4 linked regions of the Caenorhabditis elegans genome follow. The protein of the gene in region 1 interacts with the protein of each later gene in a pairwise test. Each region holds a gene or a part of one and is shown in the gene's direction. Other genes may lie near its edges.

The links.
Region 2: the proteins of rnf-1 (region 1) and T07D4.2 interact in a two-hybrid assay, tested with the Caenorhabditis elegans proteins (one large-scale study listed by BioGRID).
Region 3: the proteins of rnf-1 (region 1) and him-5 interact in a two-hybrid assay, tested with the Caenorhabditis elegans proteins (one large-scale study listed by BioGRID).
Region 4: the proteins of rnf-1 (region 1) and ndus-8 interact in a two-hybrid assay, tested with the Caenorhabditis elegans proteins (one large-scale study listed by BioGRID).

What each region holds. Positions count from the first base shown.
Region 1 is NC_003279.8:6,009,271-6,013,258, reverse strand, and holds rnf-1 (RING-type domain-containing protein), read left to right. Parts: upstream 1-1,672; 5' UTR 1,673-1,788; coding exon 1,789-1,795; intron 1,796-1,847; coding exon 1,848-1,921; intron 1,922-1,969; coding exon 1,970-2,144; intron 2,145-2,190; coding exon 2,191-2,382; intron 2,383-2,432; coding exon 2,433-2,575; intron 2,576-2,619; coding exon 2,620-2,736; intron 2,737-2,783; coding exon 2,784-2,867; intron 2,868-2,915; coding exon 2,916-3,002; intron 3,003-3,048; coding exon 3,049-3,150; intron 3,151-3,219; coding exon 3,220-3,384; 3' UTR 3,385-3,477; downstream 3,478-3,988. Other genes in the region: ints-1 (Integrator complex subunit 1 RPB2-binding domain-containing protein), read right to left, coding at 1-40, 266-630, 689-951, 1,006-1,201; C06A5.8 (RING-type domain-containing protein), read left to right, coding at 3,741-3,789, 3,839-3,918, 3,969-3,988.
Region 2 is NC_003280.10:8,869,001-8,875,532, reverse strand, and holds T07D4.2 (UPF0046 protein T07D4.2), read left to right. Parts: upstream 1-1,590; 5' UTR 1,591-1,592; coding exon 1,593-1,633; intron 1,634-1,699; coding exon 1,700-1,727; intron 1,728-2,134; coding exon 2,135-2,225; intron 2,226-2,461; coding exon 2,462-2,586; intron 2,587-3,578; exon of another isoform or gene 3,579-3,585; coding exon of another isoform or gene 3,586-3,750; intron 3,751-4,262; coding exon 4,263-4,599; intron 4,600-4,654; coding exon 4,655-4,743; intron 4,744-4,786; coding exon 4,787-4,863; intron 4,864-5,067; coding exon 5,068-5,183; intron 5,184-5,228; coding exon 5,229-5,413; intron 5,414-5,545; coding exon 5,546-5,647; 3' UTR 5,648-5,984; downstream 5,985-6,532.
Region 3 is NC_003283.11:14,088,432-14,093,008, forward strand, and holds him-5 (High Incidence of Males (increased X chromosome loss)), read left to right. Parts: upstream 1-1,994; 5' UTR 1,995-2,449; coding exon 2,450-2,495; intron 2,496-2,679; coding exon 2,680-2,778; intron 2,779-2,865; coding exon 2,866-2,996; intron 2,997-3,041; coding exon 3,042-3,270; intron 3,271-3,319; coding exon 3,320-3,412; intron 3,413-3,638; coding exon 3,639-3,730; intron 3,731-3,826; coding exon 3,827-3,895; 3' UTR 3,896-4,023; downstream 4,024-4,577. Other genes in the region: D1086.19 (uncharacterized protein), read left to right, coding at 1-273; D1086.5 (T20D4.11-like domain-containing protein), read right to left, coding at 520-675, 731-838, 883-1,059, 1,579-1,683, 1,735-1,866; D1086.3 (T20D4.11-like domain-containing protein), read left to right, coding at 4,452-4,577.
Region 4 is NC_003281.10:7,232,383-7,236,169, reverse strand, and holds ndus-8 (putative NADH dehydrogenase [ubiquinone] iron-sulfur protein 8, mitochondrial), read left to right. Parts: upstream 1-1,967; 5' UTR 1,968-1,988; coding exon 1,989-2,048; intron 2,049-2,096; coding exon 2,097-2,241; intron 2,242-2,314; coding exon 2,315-2,402; intron 2,403-2,622; coding exon 2,623-2,968; 3' UTR 2,969-3,244; downstream 3,245-3,787. Other genes in the region: Double-stranded RNA-specific adenosine deaminase adr-2, read left to right, coding at 3,288-3,697, 3,751-3,787.

The sequences.
Region 1 (3,988 bases):
AAAGACGTCTAACTGCTTTTGGTGAAGATTCGAGCGGGGACTGAAATCAAAAATGTATTAAAATTAAAATTTGACTTATTCTTTAAACTGTTTTTTTTATTTCCACTTTTCTAACACAGAATAAAAATTTCTTCTGAGATTTTGATAAACTTTAAATGCTTTTCAGCTAGTATTACACCGTTGTTTGTAGATGCTGCTTTTTGTTTCTGTTTAAATTAGGAAAAATATAAGCGAAATTTTTTCTAAAAAATCGTAAATTTATTACCTTTTTTCCCTCGACTTCCCCACTTTTTCAGAGAAGAAGCTCAAAAATTCGGAAATGGCAAAATTCTCAACCTGGCACTGCGCATACATTGCCGGAAATGGATAGACAGTTTCAAACGGATCCAAAATCATTTTCACAAGCTCTGCCGAGCACTCTTTTTCAATCCAGGAGCATCGATTCATTGTGCCGAGTCCAACGCTCATTCCAATAGAATCATGGAGAAATGCTGTTAGATAACATTTATCAAGAATTGGTTGTTGCCTTGCAAGTGAAGTGATTATTGAGATGAATAGTTCGAGAATATTGTCAGGATATGATCGAGAATTGCAAATTACGAAGAGCAGAGCGCGGTGGAGAGGAATTTGCTGAAAATTTTTCAATGATTAGAATTATTCTCCAAGTTTTTGTTAGATTTGAACCAACATTTAGCTTATCCCCATGATTTTTTACGGTTTCCGCAATTGTTCCCATTATTCTGAGCTCCACTTTCAACTTTTCTCCGACAAAGAAGCTCTTGAGCGCGGCGACGAACATTTTAGCGATTTTTGTAAAATGGCCCGCTAAAATCGCCTCCTGTACGCTTTTCTGGAAGGTTTCGATGTTTAAATTGATTGTATCTCCAAAATCTTTCCATTGATCATCGAGATTGGGGCGAACGAGATGGCTGGATTGTAGGGATGGATTTGCTGGAAATTTGTTTAATTATTAGGTGTTTTCTGGGAAAAATTGAAAATTTTTACCGGAATTACTTAGCGTTGGCTTTGGTGGAATACAAGTTTTTGATCTAAAATCCAACTTCGCTTTAACTCCTCCAGAAGTTGACGGTCCGCCAGTGCCTCCACTAGTCGTCGGGAGTTTATGGTTCAGTTTCGCCTTTTTCATGTCCTCCGGCTTCATAATCGTATCATTTAGGCGTTTGTGTTTTTTACGTTCCATTATTTATAAGATTCTAAACGAGAAACTCTTAAGATTTTCCGGAAAATAATGATAAAAACGGTTGTGAAATTGAATGAGAATAAAAAAACGAAACAAGCACGAGTGAGGCAGGTGCGCTCCAATGCGAATTTCTTTGCGCGGATGTTTAAATGGTTATTTTTTTATGGGAATCGACAAGTCACATGCTACGCTAGAGAGAGTTTTACATTTTACAGTCTTTTTGGAATTTAATAATATATATATTATCATAAAATCGAATAAAAATTGTTTCGAATAATGAATAGCTTTGTTTTTTCGTCTTGACTTCTGAAATAATTTTAAATTTGAGAAAAATTTGTGTCGCAATATATAATTATTAATATTATTAATAATGTAATTTTTTTATAATAAACTGATTTATATTTTAAAAACAAAAAAGGAATGACAATTCAGTTTAGTTTTATGAAAAACTTTGAAAAGACAAAAATAATTACAGTAAACGCGCTCCGCTAGACTCCCCAAATTTGTTTTTGTTTTCCAGGCTTGTGTCCAGGCAAATTCCAGCTTTCTTTTTGTTTCAGAATTTCTAGGTATTTATCTCCGTGAAAATGAGCGGTAAGATTGACAATCTCGAGTTTGTATTAAAATTTATTAAATTTCATTTCAGAAAAAAATACCGAAAATCCAGAAATTCTATCAACAGTCTTGGCTGGGTACTGCCAGTGCCAAGTCTGCTATCAGGTACTAATTTCCTAGTTTTACTCAATTTTCTACAAAATATGTTTGCAGCCTTTTAATGAAACCACAAAATTGGCTCGGTCCTTGCACTGTGGCCACACTTTCTGCACAGAATGCATCAGAAACGTGCAAAACTACGGTAATTCCCCACATTTAGAGTGCCCTACTTGCCGTGCGGAAACTAAAAGCAACATCGAAAATGTAGCACCAAATTTTTCAATTATGGGTAAGTTTTACCTCTTTTGAGTATTGAAATCCACGTTTTTTCTCAGAATTGGCAAGGAATTTCGGGCTTCTGGGTCCTCCAGTTGACGCTCCGCGAACTTCCTCTAGTTGCTGCTCAAATAAAACGAATAGAGATGAAATGATTGATAATAAATTCCGCGAGCTGCTTGTTGAAGTAAAAAGCAGTCTCATTCACCATTTTGACGTTTTCCGCATCAAATCACAGCTATGGAGTCTAGGCAAAGCCAAATGTGTATAAGTATTTTCTATAAAAACTGAATTTTTTCAGCAGAAGCCGAGCGAGAGGTCAGCAACATGGCTGAAGCCTTGGCAGGGGCTGTTTCTGAATGTTATTACGATTCTGACGACAATTCTGATGCGAATTCTGAGGATCAGCGAGTTCGAACTATGCTAAGGTTCTTGGCAGCAAGAGTTAGTTGATATTTTCCATGCTCCCTTGATTTGAAAATTTTCAGGACAGCGATTCTGAGACTACAGAAGACTCAACAGATTTTCTAGAATCAAATACTACTGTCCCGGACAGAACACTGGGTGGCGGTTTCTATCGCAATTTTCGTCGTCTTTTTGGAGACGTTAGTTTTCATCGAGTTAAACATTTAGAATAGAAAAAATCTTTCAGGAAAACGAACTAGATGATCCAGGTGTGGTTTCAGGTATTGAGGAGGCGGCCGCCTACCGACGTTTTCGAGGACTTTTTGGAAATGTAAGTGTCACTGTCGACAAGTTTATATTTTAGAAAAAATGTTTGCAGGACAACGACAGCATTTCGCAGGTTTCCACAACTTCCGGCAGTTTTGGGAATCATGAGAATGATCATTTTTGTCCGTTTTCCGATGACGTTAGTAGGACTTTGAATTCGATTGTTAATCTTTTTTCTAATTCAGGATAATATCTCCGAATGTTCCGATGACTACTATCCCACATTGGTTATGCCTGAAACAGATGAAGAGGAGACGTACAAAAGTTTTCGCTGCCTTTTTGGAGATGTATGTAAATTTATTGTCAGACGGCTATTTTTTAAACTAAAACAGCTGAAATTAAGAAAAAAATTCCAGGAAAACGGGAACCTCGACTTTTCCGACGACGAAAAAGAATTCTCCGACAATGAATCTTCACTCAGCTCAGTTTCCACTGAAGACTTTCCGAATTCGCACATAGAAGAAGCCGGCAGAGTTCTTCACAGATTTCTTCTGCTCTCTGCTCTTCTGAATGAAGAATAAATTACTATATAATTCAATTTTATCCCGTCTCCGCCTGAAATTTTTGTATTGTTTTACATGTTTTAATAGAGAAAATAAAGATCTCTTCTTGTTTTCCCCTGAAAAATCTGTGCGATTTCCTTTATTTTATTTTCGCTTTTGTTTCTCTTCAAAAGTGTTTTTTTTTCTCATTCAAAAATTCAGGACTTTCAAGGGAACCACATTTATTTGGAAAGGTCTCGCCGCGAAATCATAATTCAAACATGGTTGTTCATGTGCCTTTAAGATTACTGTAGAAAGTTTTGGAAGAAGTTTTGAATTTTTTTCTCCTTTCTTTCCCAAAAATCACCTACTTAATTTAGCATTTTCAGCCATAAATGTCCGCAACAAAAAGTGAAATGCCTGCGGATGTGGCATCTGTAACAGGTAATTTTTCGTTTTTATAAGATCTGGTTCCAAAATTCGAAAATTCCAGATAGTTCGGCTGCGTCGCCTGCATTCCCGCTGATAGGTGATTTTCTCGAGGAGTTTCTCAAATGCCAAGTCTGCTGCACTGTGAGTGCCCCACTTGTTTTATTGTTCAAAAATTAAACTTTCCAATTTAGAATTACAATGAGACGACAAA
Region 2 (6,532 bases), on another chromosome or scaffold:
ATTGCATCTTGTGACCTACAAACTAGTCAAGGATCTTTGAATTTTTACCATAAGTACCCTTCAATAATATCTCCCAGCTCCACCAATTCAATCAAGTTCAAGATTTCAAATTGATTGATGTCGACAAATTAATTGAGAGTACAACTCGATCCGCCCTCATCAAATCCTAATCCATCACTCGTAATACATCGACCTTCTTCATCAGATCTTCCCTGTTTTTTGTGCACCACTCATCATTATTATCTCTTTCCACCAGACTCTTCTCTTTCAGTCGACTCTTCGGCTCAACTTTGATCCCTTATTGTGACCCGTTGTGGGGTGTTAAAAAAGTTTATTGATGAGTTATGACAAGTCTTTGTGGTGAGACTGAGAACGATGAGGTGGGGGAGGAAGGTATGAAGGTGGAGCCATTGTGTGCACAAAGTGGTTGCTACTGGTGGTGAGTAAATCAACACCTGATGAGCTGTTCAAAAAACAGAAGCAGAAGAAGAACCAGTCACTTTACTCTTTGCAATGTTTTCAGCTTTGCTTTCTTATTTCTATGATACTAGTATTACGTTAGTTTCGCATTATATTTTTTCAGAATTTTAGCTTGAATTTGTTCACTTATAATTCGCATATCACTACATATAACTTGAAATAGAAATGGAAATAGTTAATAAGATAATGATGGAAAGATCAATTGAATGACTAAAAATAAAACAATTAGAACTTCTGAATGAGTTTAGAGGTAGATTATTGGCTACTGGACCTTCGTAACAGTATCTATTTGTAAATACTTATAGTAGTTTTTGTAATTAGTCTTTACTTATACTAGGGCAATACAAAAATATATTCTGAATCGCTACAGTTTGGATGAAATCTCAATAAAAACTAGGCTCCAATTTTTAACCTTTTCCAAGTGTTCAGAAACTTTATTTCTACAGTTTAGAGTTTACTTATATTTTCCTATTCCACTGCATTAATTTTCTCATAATAGAACATGTGAGTAGATAATTTCTATGTGATTTATGTGATACGTTTGGCATATGTTGTACTTTTTCTCAGTTGCACACTTATCAGCTTGTGACCTGGTGGCACTCAACCCTTGCCGTCTCTCGAGATACATTGTACCGCAATAAAGATTTGAAAAACAATACGACATTAGCAAGAGCTGGTCCAAACTTGTGCAAGGTATGAGTGGCGTTTCTATTGAGAAAACACGGTCTACTGTATTTTAAATATCTTGATAAATGTTATTTGCTCTGTTAGTATAAACTTTACCAATTATGTCATTGCCAACAGCTATATTCAACTACGTCACGAATCCTATGTCTCACTTCTTTGCAACAAAAACCCTTGATCTTTTTAATCACATCTTTAAATGAGAGTTGATCTCATTAAACTACTCATTTGCTCAAGAAAATTCTGCACTCAATGCTGAATTGCTTTGTCCGTGTTTAAGTACCTAATTCCATGATCCAGACACATCTTATCTCATTCCGAACATTCCCGAACTTTCGTGTCATCCTTCACTTCACTTTGTCACTTCTCAAAAAGTTGTCGTTTCTTCTTGCTTGTCGACCCAAAAAATCATCGAGATTTTTGCAGGAATGCTGAGTCCTGCATTGCTCAAAGTGTCACTCAATCGAAGGTTCGTCAATGATTTTTTGTAGCTGCACTCATTGTTTGTTTTATGTTTCAATCTTTGTGTTTTCAGAAGCTCCGCTCCTGTACCACAAGATGAGGTGAGCCAATTGGTATTGAAGAAGGATAGAACTCTGATCAAATGGAAAAAAGAGGAAGAAGGGGAGGGGGTTAAGATGGATAAGATGGAAATGCTGGAGGGAAGAAGAAGATGGAAGGTTTCATTGGCGGGTACCTTTGAGAACCATTCCCGTGCTTTGGTCACTTGTCCTGATTTTTTCTTCACTACAACCTGATTTTATGGAGCTATATTCTCAAACAGAAGTTGATAGATAAAGTGTATCACCATTCCGTTTAAAAACTGTATTTGTAAAAGATTTATGTCTCAGTTCCTTAACATTTTTGGTAGTAGTCCTCGAACCTCGAAGCTACAAATAATAATTTGCTCTATTTATATGATACTTCCACTTCAAAACATTCATATTTTAACATAATATATTTATTTCAGAAAATGATGTTCCATTCGCGAAACCGGGCTGCATCATATTTGCAGCCGATGATAGAAGATCAGGAATTGATTGGATTCAACAGAGATAGAAGTGAGTTCATAATTTCTTTTTGCCTCTCTCCCGATTCTCGTAAAAAATGAGAATAAACAGCAAAATGTGTAGTAAAGGTTGAATAACGTGTGAATACCACGATGGCAGCTTCAATGTTCTTCTTTTAAAATAAGTTATTAACTTTATAAAAAAAACCAGAGAACAATTCAGATTGATTCTCAGAAAAAAAAGAATACTTCCGTCTATTTCTAAGTTGTCATAACTATCTTTATCAGGAAGAAGTTCCGGCTCAATAATCGTCGACAGTTTTGAACTCGGAAATGCTTCGCCAAGTCGCCGCGGTTCAATTGCATCTGGCATTCCAATGGACAAAAAAACCCGACGGAAGCTGTCAAATCCGGTAGGTTTTCTATGTTGTTAGCTCCCATCAACAATTGGAAAAACAAAATGAAAGATAAAATGATAAATGCGTTCGAGCATGATACCAATCTGATGAAAAGAAGAAACAATCTATCTCATATTGAGTCGGCATACCAACTGACGTTGGAGTCTCTACTTTTTTGATTTAAACGAAAAAAAGAAAGAAAAGATATCTGAGAGCCGATGATGGTCGTCTTTGATTCACTATTCATCAGATGATCCACTGACGAACATTTTCTCACCTTTCCCTGAGATGTGCCAGCCTATCAGTTTCATTTTTACCGAGTTACCGACCTTTTTTTTTCGTAATTTTTAGTTGCTTTTCGGGGATTTTTTTGACTACGAAATTTTCTCAGTAATTTTTTATTTTTCTTCCTTTGAAGAAAACATTTTGCTCGATTTCCATTGTTGCTCGAGGTTATTCACAGTTTTCTGAATGTGAAAAATTATGAGAAAACGCGGCTCCCATTCTTTCAGACTTTCTCTCAAACCTTCAGTATTTTGAAACATTTCAAAAACTCGCAGAGCATTCGTATTATGGTAACTTGTCCAGGCGACCGGCAGTTAGTTTCATATTCGTCCAATCTTTCCAATCTAGTTTCAGCCGAAAACCACTGCTTTCCCAAGTATACATATATTTAAAAAATAAGAAAAGAGAACTAACTATTAACAGAAAAAGAACGGGTAACTGAATATCCTTCTGCATTTAGTTTGATGTATCCTTCAAAAAGATAAGGAACAAAAAGTGACCAGCACATACATATATCGGATGTCTCGTTTGCAACTTTTGGCCTCCCATCCCATTTCCTGTCACCTCGTGACCTCATCGTTAGATCGAAAACCATTTGAGTGCAGTCAATGTTTTTGACACACTTCAGATACTCGCCATAAATCTTTTGAATCTTACTTCTCCATTCAATCTTTTCGGCTCTATTTCTTCATTTGTTTCTTTCTTATCAATTGTTCACACAGCCTGAAAATGTTCTCCAAGTCGAGCAATCGGTTCGGAACAACTTCTATATTTGGGGATCAGTCTATTAAAGATGAATACCGTAACCGACAGAGACGTCTTTCTCTGATTGGTGGACCTATAAGTGGAACATCTCCAAATCGACGAGAATCACTTGTTCGAGAGTTAAGAACTGTAAGTTCAAAGAGTCTTTAGTCGCCAGCTGTTGTCAGTTCAAGCTTGTTAACAACAAATTACATGGGGGGCCAACATTTGTCAAAAAATTGCTTCCATTTTGTTATTAGTACGAACAGAAATTGAAAAAAAGAAGTAAAAAACTTGAGTCTCAATTTCCTGATTTATTTAGTTCTACCACTAATACTTCAATGTATTTCCTAAGGATACACAGAAAATCTCAAGATTCTATAAAAAGTTGGTATTCAGAGACTAAAATTCATAAAAGACCGGTACGTTTTTTGCATGCCGTTTGGCCCAGTTTGTGTTTTAAACCCTATGTATAGCAATGTTTATTTTTAATGCTATATTTTCACAGTATAATAATTTGAAAATTTTAATTGTATTGTTATATCCGGTCAAAGGTTGACAACAGCCACACAAGCCATGTGTTTAATGTCGTTAACAACAAGATGAATGGGAAATTAATTGCTCCGCAAGCTTCTCCTTCAGAACAATACATTTATTTTCAGGTATCTCTTCATCAATACACAGAAGATCCAACACTTGCATGGGAAATGCTGAAAGAAAAAAGACCAGTGAAACCAGTTCGTCAGATGAGACTTGATACTCCAGTAAAACCAGATCATGTGAGATTTGTATGTATTGGATGTACACATGGAGAACAATTTGATATATCAAAACTCCCACCTGGAGATGTTCTCCTCGTGGCTGGAGACTTCACATCATGCGGTCTTCCAAATGAAGTTCACAATTTTAATAAGTTACTTGGAAAACTGAAATACTCTTACAAAGTGGTGATAGGTGGAAATCACGAATGCACATTTGACGACACATTTTTGAAATTGAGTAAGTTCAACTCCAATAAACCATTAACGATCAATCACCACAACAAAATTTGCAGAACAAGAGTCTGAACCAAAAGAAATGGCACTGAAACAAGCATTGTTATCAGCAATTCATTCTGATTCAAAGGGTGGAATTTCAGCGAAAGTAAGCATGATTTCAATTTATGAAAGTATACAATTTTTTGTAGGATTTGTTATCAAATGCAATTTATTTGGAGGATAATGTAATCGAACTGTTTGGAATCACAATTTATGGAACGCCATGGTAAGGATTGCAAGTTTTCTGAAAAAATTGTGGTAGATTCAAGTCGAAATTTGAAACAATTGTCACCTTCGACAAGTATTATCATTATATATTTTGTAGATCAATAAAAAATATAAGTTCGAATTGAATATTCTTTCTCACAGCATAATTCTATGAGTTCCATATTGAACCCATTGTATCAAAGCACAATTTCAAAAATTGCAGGCAACCAAAAGTAGACAATTGGGCATTCAATCTCTCTCGTGGACAACAACTATTGGACAAATGGAACCTGATCCCGGCGGGCGTTGACGTGCTTTTAACTCATACACCTCCACTTGGTAAGTTCAAAGTACCACAAATAGTAAAACACAAATTTTGTGCAGGACACGGCGATATGATGAACAATGGACAGAGAATGGGATGTGCCGAGTTGTTGAACACAGTTTTCAAGCGGGTTCGACCAAAGTATCACGTTTTTGGACACATTCATGAGGGCTACGGATGCACAACTGATGGATATACAAAGTTCATTAACTGCTGCATGTGTAATGAAAATTTGGATTTAAAGGTGATCATTCGTGAATTTTGACTTATTGAGAAAAATTGGGCATGACTCTGGGACGACTTTATTCAAGCAGCACACAAATTTAGACTATCCATGATTATTAAATTTGACAATTTCATCGTTAAAAATTTTCAGAACGAGCCAGTAATATTCGATATCCCAGTGCACCCTCACACCAAACAATTCTACATTCAAAATGTGAAGAAAATTCATAAAAGATTCCAAAAGAAGAAATAAATTAAATTCCTCTCACTGTCACCTCTGTGTCATTTTGTAGTTATAATTATACCACCACTTTTTAATTTTTTTTGCTCTTTTTCCACACCACGACCATCATCATCTATTTTTCTCACTCATTGAGCCCTCCTCCAACCCCATAAGAACAAAATAATATCCCATCCGGAAATGAGTCTTTATGAACTCGATGCGCAGTCAACAGCACCACAAAAAGAGCAAGAGAAGGTTGATTGTGCTTCTGCTGCGACAGCTTCTGCAACTGCTTCTTCTCGTCTTCCAATTCTTCTTCTTTCACCAAAATTGCTCCCGCTAACCAGCAATAAAACATTCCAATTTGTGAGCCTCTTTCGAGTCAAACATTATGAAATTCAATACCAAATTATGCTGCAACCTCCTCTTTTGCCCTCTGAAATCAGATATTGGCCATGTGTGGTGCGGTTCCGGCAGTGCCGGCTTCTTGCTCCACACAGACAAATCTCTTTTGTTATTCATCGATGTCTTTTCTCAGAGATATCATCAACATTAGACTTTTTTCGATTTTACTGAAATTCATTATTTCTAGACCAGAAATATCTGAAACAGGGTGAAATCTAGTCAGAATGATTTCCACCCAGAGTTGTTTCATATAGTCTGTAATTTTTTAGATACAATATTTTTCTTACGTCAGACAGTATCCACCGTGTCAGTTGAGAATACACATAGGTTTTAGTTTTAAATCACCACAAAAGCTAACAAGCGCCACATTCAGTTGCACGTAGAAATTAATCTCTGACCTAGAATATATGATAGAATAGAAAAAGGAACCAATCCATTAGGAATAATGAAAATTCTTTGGCAATTTTTTCCGAAATGAATCACAAATGAGAAATGACTCATAGTGAGATT
Region 3 (4,577 bases), on another chromosome or scaffold:
AAAGTTCACCCAAGAATAATGCTCAATCTGGCAGTTTCAAAGCGCCGGAAGCTTCTCGACATGAAAGAACGCGACTTTCGATGCGAAATTCTTCAGAACTATTTTATTCAGCGACTGACAAGGCACTTACGCGACTGTCGGAACAATAGGATTGCTAGAAAAAGATCGAGAAGTTTCGTGATACGTGATAGTCAAAGCTCAACACTGTCCCGCGATGAGGAACAGAGTGCGCCAAGTTCCAAGGTTACAAAGAAAGCCGACAAGAAAGAGTAAATTTCTTGCTTCTGTGATCCTATAGTTTCTTTCTTAATGCCTGTGTCATTTCTTTAATAAATCTAATAACTCCAAATAGTTTTGTAAAAAACAACAACGTGGAACTACATATAATTAGGTATACATAAATATTTTTTCAATAATCTAGCATCTTGAAGTTTAATGGAATTCTATGTAGCACGAAATTTTTTCAAATTGTTTTATTAAAACGTGCCAAAAAACCATTCGGAAAAAAATGAACTGAAATTAAGCCGAAATTTGTGTTGAATTACTTCCGAAATCCCTTTCAACATCTTCTTTTGTAATTATCCCTCTTTGCATGCTATTATCATCTCCACGAACCCGATCTTTATATCGAAGACGTCCATCGCAAGCACGATTGTAGAGACGAATATTTATGTGCTGTAGCATTATAAGTTAAAGAGATCTGCAGAAATTAATAAAATCAAATTTTCACCTGCTTGTACAGACTCAAAAAATCAGAACCACAATGCTTCCCAACATCTTCGAGAAAGCATTTACTTTTTGTCTGGATGCTCACGCAGTCGACTTTGTCCGGATTTTTCTGAAATTAAACTTACAGAATCAATGCAAAATGCTAAAGAGTACATTTTTGAGATAATCCTTAACACATTCAGAAACTTGATCCGGGGTTTTCTCAATAACTTCCTTCAATGTTTTCTCACAATAATACATTGGTCCTAGATGAAATACGTCATCAATGCACTTGTCCAGTTCCTGATAATTGACAAAATCCATGTAGCATCCCGTATTTTCCATGCAAACCTGAAGGCATTGTGAAAATGTCAAAATGAGATTTCAGCTAAATTTAACTTTTTAAAATTTGAAATTTTGAACCACTTGAAAACATTTTAGAACGATTATTAAGAGCTCTTATTATGAAATTTGGTTGTTTGGAAGTGTTTTGAGTGGAAATCTGGAAATAAAGGTACTTGTGTATTATTTCCCCTCAGTTTTTAAAATAAACTTTTAAATAAAAACGTGTGGTGTTTTTGTATTTTTAGGCTTAGGAAATAACCCTTTCTAAGCCTAAAGAATGAAAATGGACATCACGTTTTATTAAAATGGATAATATTAAAATGAGGGGAAATAATACAGAAGTACCGAAATAAATTTTATTTAGCGGAAATGGAGCACACTGAGCTAGAAAAATATTGTTTTTTAAATTCAAAAAAATATCCAAAACCCCACTTATTTGAAAATTTTATCGTGAGCTGAGATCTCAAGATCTAGCGAATACTTTTACATGCCTGTATTTCCATATGTATTACAAACAAATCTTACAAAATAATCATCACAATGCTTTCTGAGTTCAACAAGACTCATATTTTTGGTCTGTTCCGGATTCCACGCAATTGAATTATGCCTCCAATAATATTTAGCACCTTCCTTAAAATTATTCAGCATTTAAAAAAGCCAAAGACACCCATCAAAACTTACAAATAACCTGCAATACTTTATATTACTACGTCCGGGAAAAAATGAACATTCTGACTTGAAATAGTTCACTCCATTACTTGAAAAAACAGTTGAAATTGGAAAAAGTAAGAGGAATATGTTCTGGATTAACATTCGGAGCTCAAAATGAAAAGAGCAGCAGACAAGCTAGAAGCAAAGTAGAGAGAACTAAGATTGTGGATGTGACGTCAAACGTTTTCAGCGGCAGCTGCTCAGCAAGCAATCAGGTGCCATTTGTCTAGTTGTTCGATTTGGTGGATTAACTACATTTATTACATGGAAACTGTACAAATATTAATTTTTTTTCAGCTGAAAAGTCTGTTATATTCAGTAATTACGGTTTTTTTTTCAAAATTATTCTCTTACAAAATCCTCAAATATGAGCAAATTCGCGGTAATTAATGAACCATTTCCAAAAGACACCATTTTTGTTGCAAAATTAGTTCATTTTGTGTAGAATTCAAAACTTTCCGCAAGTTTAAAACAATGAAAGTCTAAAAAACAGTCTTTCTGTCTTAATATTCGAAAACTACTTCCTAAATCCAATCCAGGCCTGATAAGTTTCTACAAAACAAAGCAAGTCGTTGCGATACCATCTTCTCGTTTTGCGATATGCGCCTTTAAGATCGTACCTTAATAAAGCAAACTGTTTTTCTCCCGAAAAAGCATACTTATCATCTGGTTTTTTTTGCTGAAAATGTCCAGAATTCGTTCTAATAACGACAATATTATAATATTAACAGGTAATTTATTTTTTTAATCTATTATATCTTGCTAAATTTGAATTCGTCAGTAGCTTCAATGCTAAAAGCGGAATAACAATTTAAAAAAACTTTAATAAATGTTTATTTTTGAGGAAAACAACTCTATAAACACCAATTCATTGTTAAACATTACAAATGAACATTTTTTGGGATTTTTTTTCAGATGAACAACGAAAAACAGTTGGTCGCATCGCCGGTCGTTCACAGAACAGAAATACATCGAAAAAAATTGCCGATGGCCCATATTTTTTGCCGAGATACAGTTCGTTTTAATATATTTTATGTATTTTTCTGCAGGAAAGCTTTTACATCAATGTTTTCCAATAAAAAACTAAATAGTTAATTTCAGGAATTCGAGACAATGCAGAGAGATCAGTAGGTGCACGTTTCAAGAGTCTTCCACAAAAAGAACAAGACGAAGTAGTGAATGAAGCTTTTTCGAATCTTCGAGAATATTTGAAAAAGAGGGAACCTTTCTATGTTAGTAATTTTTAAAAACATGGAATTTTACTGATTATTTTCCAGGCAAAGCTCCGGAAAGCTAACTCCAAGTATTCCTCAAAGCCCAAAGAAAGAGAAAAATCTGTCGACTCCAATGACGAAGCTGATAGACGCAATAAGGGAAATAAGAAAACTCAAAAAAATGCGAGTAAGAACTGCCAAATTGAGAAATCGTCGAATAATTCTGGAATTCTCAAAAAAAGTGGATCAGGAATCAGCGTGGCTTCTAAACCAAAAAAATCAGTTGCATTTGGTACGGAAATCCAAGAGAAGTCAATTTTCCAATATATTACAAATTTCAGCACCAGGAGTATACGAAGATTTAAGCACCGACGATGATTTAGAGTTTTTAAATTCTGTGATTGTCAACAGTGATCGTCCAACTTCACAGTGTGGTAAGTAAACTCACATCAACATTAATGAAAGACACGATTTAATTTCGCGAAATTTTGCAATTTTGGCTACAATAATACGGTATTTAGTCTAGACACGACAAACTTGTTTTAAGCACAGGTTTAACGGGTGTGCGCCTTTAAAGATTACTGTAGTTCCGAATTTTTTTCTGCCGAATCTTCATCGAGTTTAGTTTTCCGATTTTCAGATAAATTGTTTTTGTTCCAGATAATCCGGCACGTAGAATGTGTGGAAGACCGCCAACAAAACACAGGGACACTGAACAGTCACAGGAAATCACTGGAAGCAAGAAGCAGAAAGTATGTGGAATTTTTTCAACTTTTTTTGCAAATTTTAATATCCTTATACAACGGAAATTAAATCAATAAAGCTTTATGAAAATGTTAATATTTCAGATTTTTCCGACTCCTCACGAAAAACCTGCCTGGTGGTCATTCCGCATTCCAAAAAAACGCGCTCAATAATTCGTGGTTTAATAATAGTAGTTTTTATATCCCCCCAGTATTATCTGTAAAATAAGATCTCATGTTCCATTTTATTTTGTTTATGTTTGTATCAAATATTCAAGTTAATAAAAAAAAAAATTTATTTATTGCGGCTAGGGGACTCGAGTGCCATGTTTGCACGTAAAGCATAGTGACGAGCGGAACCCTCGAGATGTCCGGACACTCGGGCATATAACTGTCCTCTCGTCAGTGGTATTGCCGCTATTTATAAACGCTCTCAGGGCCTTGCAAAAGACCCAGTGAACAATTTTTGGAGAACCCTGTCCTTTCGAGGTCAGGGTAAATGTTAGATTTCCAGAATCCGAGATAACGAGAATTTCGTTGTTTACAAATCGAACAGAAAGTAGAATTAATTGGTCTCGGAACGTCATCCTTATCACAAACACACCTACAATATCCCGATCCCAACCCTTTTTCATATGTTTTTTTTTCATTTGAATTCATATCAATTGACCTCTAAACTTGGTATATAAAAGCAACGTGTCTGATAAAGAAAAACCGACGAGAAAACAACATGAAATCTATTATCATTTTATCAGTTTTCTTAGTTTGTTCCGCGTTGGCTGCCAGTTCTGATAAGGATACTGAATCAAAAGTGGCCAGATATTTGAAATCCTGTGGAGTTATCACTTCATTGAAG
Region 4 (3,787 bases), on another chromosome or scaffold:
GCGACTTGCGTTATCGGTTGACAGAGGCTTCATTAGAATTTTTTAGTTGAAACCACACGGTCACTTATAGCCCCGAGGCTTTTCTTGTTCTACCCTGTACCACACGCAAAGCCCATAAATTCTGTAACTCAATTTCCTCCTTTTCTCGTACCTCATTTCTCTCGAACGGAGCTAGGAACAAGGGAAAACCTTTTCTCGGGGGAGCGCAGCGACCCGAGAATGGGATGTTTTCCCGTGACAGCGGAGTGAGAGAGACAGTAGCAAACTAAAGGCGCAGGCATTTTCCTCCGGCACGGGTCTCGCCGCGACAAGCGCCCCGCGGGCTCCGGCGCCTGTTTCTCCTCATTCTACGTGTGAGTTCCCGCCCGCCCACCCCTCGACTGATATTTTTGCTACTCTATATTCACTATTCTAGCGGCGGTTCTAACACCGAGCTATTGTGGGTAGGTTGACAAACACGAGGACAGGTAACTTATTCTTAAAATTCCGCAATTCCACCAGAGTAGACAGGCAGGATTCCTCCGAAATAATTGCAGGAGTAATCTGTCAGTCTTTTTTGGCGGTGGCAGGAAAGGTTTAAAAATTTTTTAATAGCGACCAAAAATTGATATCCCTAAAGGTTAATTTTGGCGATTTGCAGGCGTTGAAGGTTTACAGGAAATTCCCTAGAGGTATCAAGGGTGACATTGGAACGGCAGGGAAGGAATCCAGCGAGCCAACAAGAACAAGTTTTCAAGTTTCGGATAAGACCTGGATAAGGAAAGGATAACTAACGGAGTGGAGAAAACCGCGGTCGGCCACGAGTCGCGAGATTACTTCATAACAGACTACAGGTAGTTCTTTTTCGGGGTCTTTTAAATGGGAAACGGCCATAATCCCCAAACTATAAACTATCCTAATTAACATAATTTGTTTTCAGATCAGTTCGCCATTTTTAGGTATTCAGGAGACATAACGGAGAGCGGCAGTGAAAGATCTCGCGGGCTCTTGTCAAGGATTTAGGGAAATTTCGGATTGTTCGCACGTGGGTGGAACGCGAAAACAGAGGGTTGAGAAGCGACGATCCTTGTTTGGGCAGCAGACGAGCTTCAAGTATCAGATCTACAGGAGTTGCCAGGATTATCGATTCACGTTGGTTTACCATTTTACCTCTTTTGCCACCTTAACCAATAATAAGTACTTTCGGTCCGTCCTTTTTCGTTTTTGCAGCACGTACTTCAGCACAGTCGGCTCCATCAGCAACACCAGCAGCTCCTGCACAGTCAACATCATGTCGGCAACATCGAACGATCGGGCTCTTCACGACGGCGTCAGCACATTAAATTTCCCCAATTTATACCGTTCGTGGCCCTCATATCGTTCAAGTTGGGCGCCTGGCGCCCAACTGCCCCTAATTTTCTACTTTTGTCACGACCTGTACCACACGCAAAGCCCATAAATTCTGTAACTCAATTTCCTCCTTTTCTCGTACCTCATTTCTCTCGAACGGAGCTAGGAACAAGGGAAAACCTTTTCTCGGGGGAGCGCAGCGACCCGAGAATATATATTTATGAGAAGTAAATTGAGAAACAAATATTCGGAAGCAAACTTGAGAACAGTTTTCCTAATTTCTCAAGAAACAAAGCATTAAAGTAAAATTATTGTGACAATAAGCGTGCTTAGAAACACTAAACGATAAAATTATGTTATTTGACAAATATTTAAACATAATAACAATATAAAATATATAAATTGAAAGGCTAAAAGTATTTAAATAGATATTTGGGAATTAAACTTTGTTGGAACGCAGAAGTTGCGCCCTTGGTTCATCGTTGGCGCGTTTCTCGTGCACCTGCAGGACATGTTTGCGTCTTTCTCGCTTTTTTAATATTTTTTCGTGTTCAATTTTATATTTATCAATGTTTTTCTATTATAAACACTTCATTCCAATTAAATTAAATGTAGTCTATCAATAATACGTTTTTCAGTAACTTAACCACGCTGTCAAAATGGCGATGAAAAGTGTGGCAGTGCTCACAAAAGGCATGTTTGGAAGAATTCCGGCTCAAGTGAGATTTTCTCATTCAAATATACGTTTCAAATAATCAATTATTTAGCTTGCCGTCAGCAGTGTTCCTTCCAACACAATTCAAAAGAGATCCAACTACAAATTCGTTGGTATGCCCAATGAAACCGATGGAACACTGGCTGGAGATTTGAATTACGGGCTTCACAATGTTTTCTTCACCGAACTTTTCAGAGGTAATTTTAAACTAAATTTGAATCAAAATTATTTTGAAGTATACTGTGTGAAGGAAAAATGTCAATTTTTCAGGTTTCGGAGTGATGCTTGGTCACGTATTCATGGAGCCAGCTACTATCAACTATCCCTTCGAAAAGGGACCACTCAGTTCAAGATTCAGGTACAGAAATTAAAAATTGAAATTAAATCATAAAGCATTTGTTATAATCAGCTTGGAAGAAAATAAGCATATTTTGGTTGTATTTTAATAGTTTTCAAAAAACTGAACAAACTTGCACCTTCACACGACACATATTCGAAAATTCTTTAATTAAAAATATTAATTATTTAGTTAATTTAAAAAAAAACAAAAATTATTAACAAAAAAATCAGTATTTTAGAGGAGAACACGCTCTTCGTCGATACCCGTCTGGTGAAGAAAGATGCATTGCTTGCAAGCTTTGCGAAGCCATTTGCCCAGCTCAAGCTATCACGATCGAGGCCGAAACAAGACCTGACGGAAGTCGCCGTACCACTAGATACGATATCGATATGACCAAGTGCATCTATTGTGGATTATGCCAGGAAGCTTGCCCAGTCGATGCAATTGTCGAGGGCCCGAACTTCGAATATTCGACTGAAACTCACGAAGAACTCCTCTATAATAAGGAGAAGCTCTTGTTGAATGGTGATCGCTGGGAGCCTGAGCTCGCTTCCAATCTTCAAGCCGAATATCTTTATCGTTAAGATAATACGAATTGTGGGAAATGAGAAGAGAACATTTTAAAATACCTGATTTTTTCGTAGCTTTTTCGCTTTTCCGTTTTCTGTTGTCAGATGATTTATTTTTAATTTTGAGGTTTTAGTATTTGTTCCCCTTTTCTGATAACTTCCGAATTGTAGATGAAAAACAAAATATGTTATATACTTTTATGTTTTCTCTATGTTTTTCTTAAATATCGTTCACTAGTCGATGTTGCTCTATTGTTTTTTCGATATCTCAAGGTAAAACTGTTACACATTTCCTCATGTGGACTTTTTGTTCCAAAAATTATTCGTAATTCAGATGTCCGTCGAAGAAGGTATGGAAGTTGAGTTAAAGTCAGAGAAAATGGATTTGGATGACAATATTCCCGACTTTGTGAAGGAAACTGTGGAAAGAAGCGGAAAGAATCCAATGTCATTATTCTCAGAGCTTTATGTTCATATGACAGGCAACACTCCAGTTTTTGATTTCTATAACAGAAACCAACCGAACGGATCCATGAAATTTATATGTGTTGTAATTTTAAATGGAGAACGAATCGAGGGAAATGTAAAATCCAAAAAGAAAGAGGCAAAGGTGTCGTGCTCATTGAAAGGACTGGAAGTCGTGCTCAAGCATGTTAGCGAATACGTTGTGCCTGCTGTCAAATTTGAGGAGAAAACCACATTTTTCGAGATGCTCAGAGAACATACATACGCGAAATTTTATGAGTCAGTGGAAAAAATAATTCATAGTGAATGTATCCCTTTTATTATCATTTTAGACTTTGTAAGAACAACGCCTTAATCTATGGATTCGAA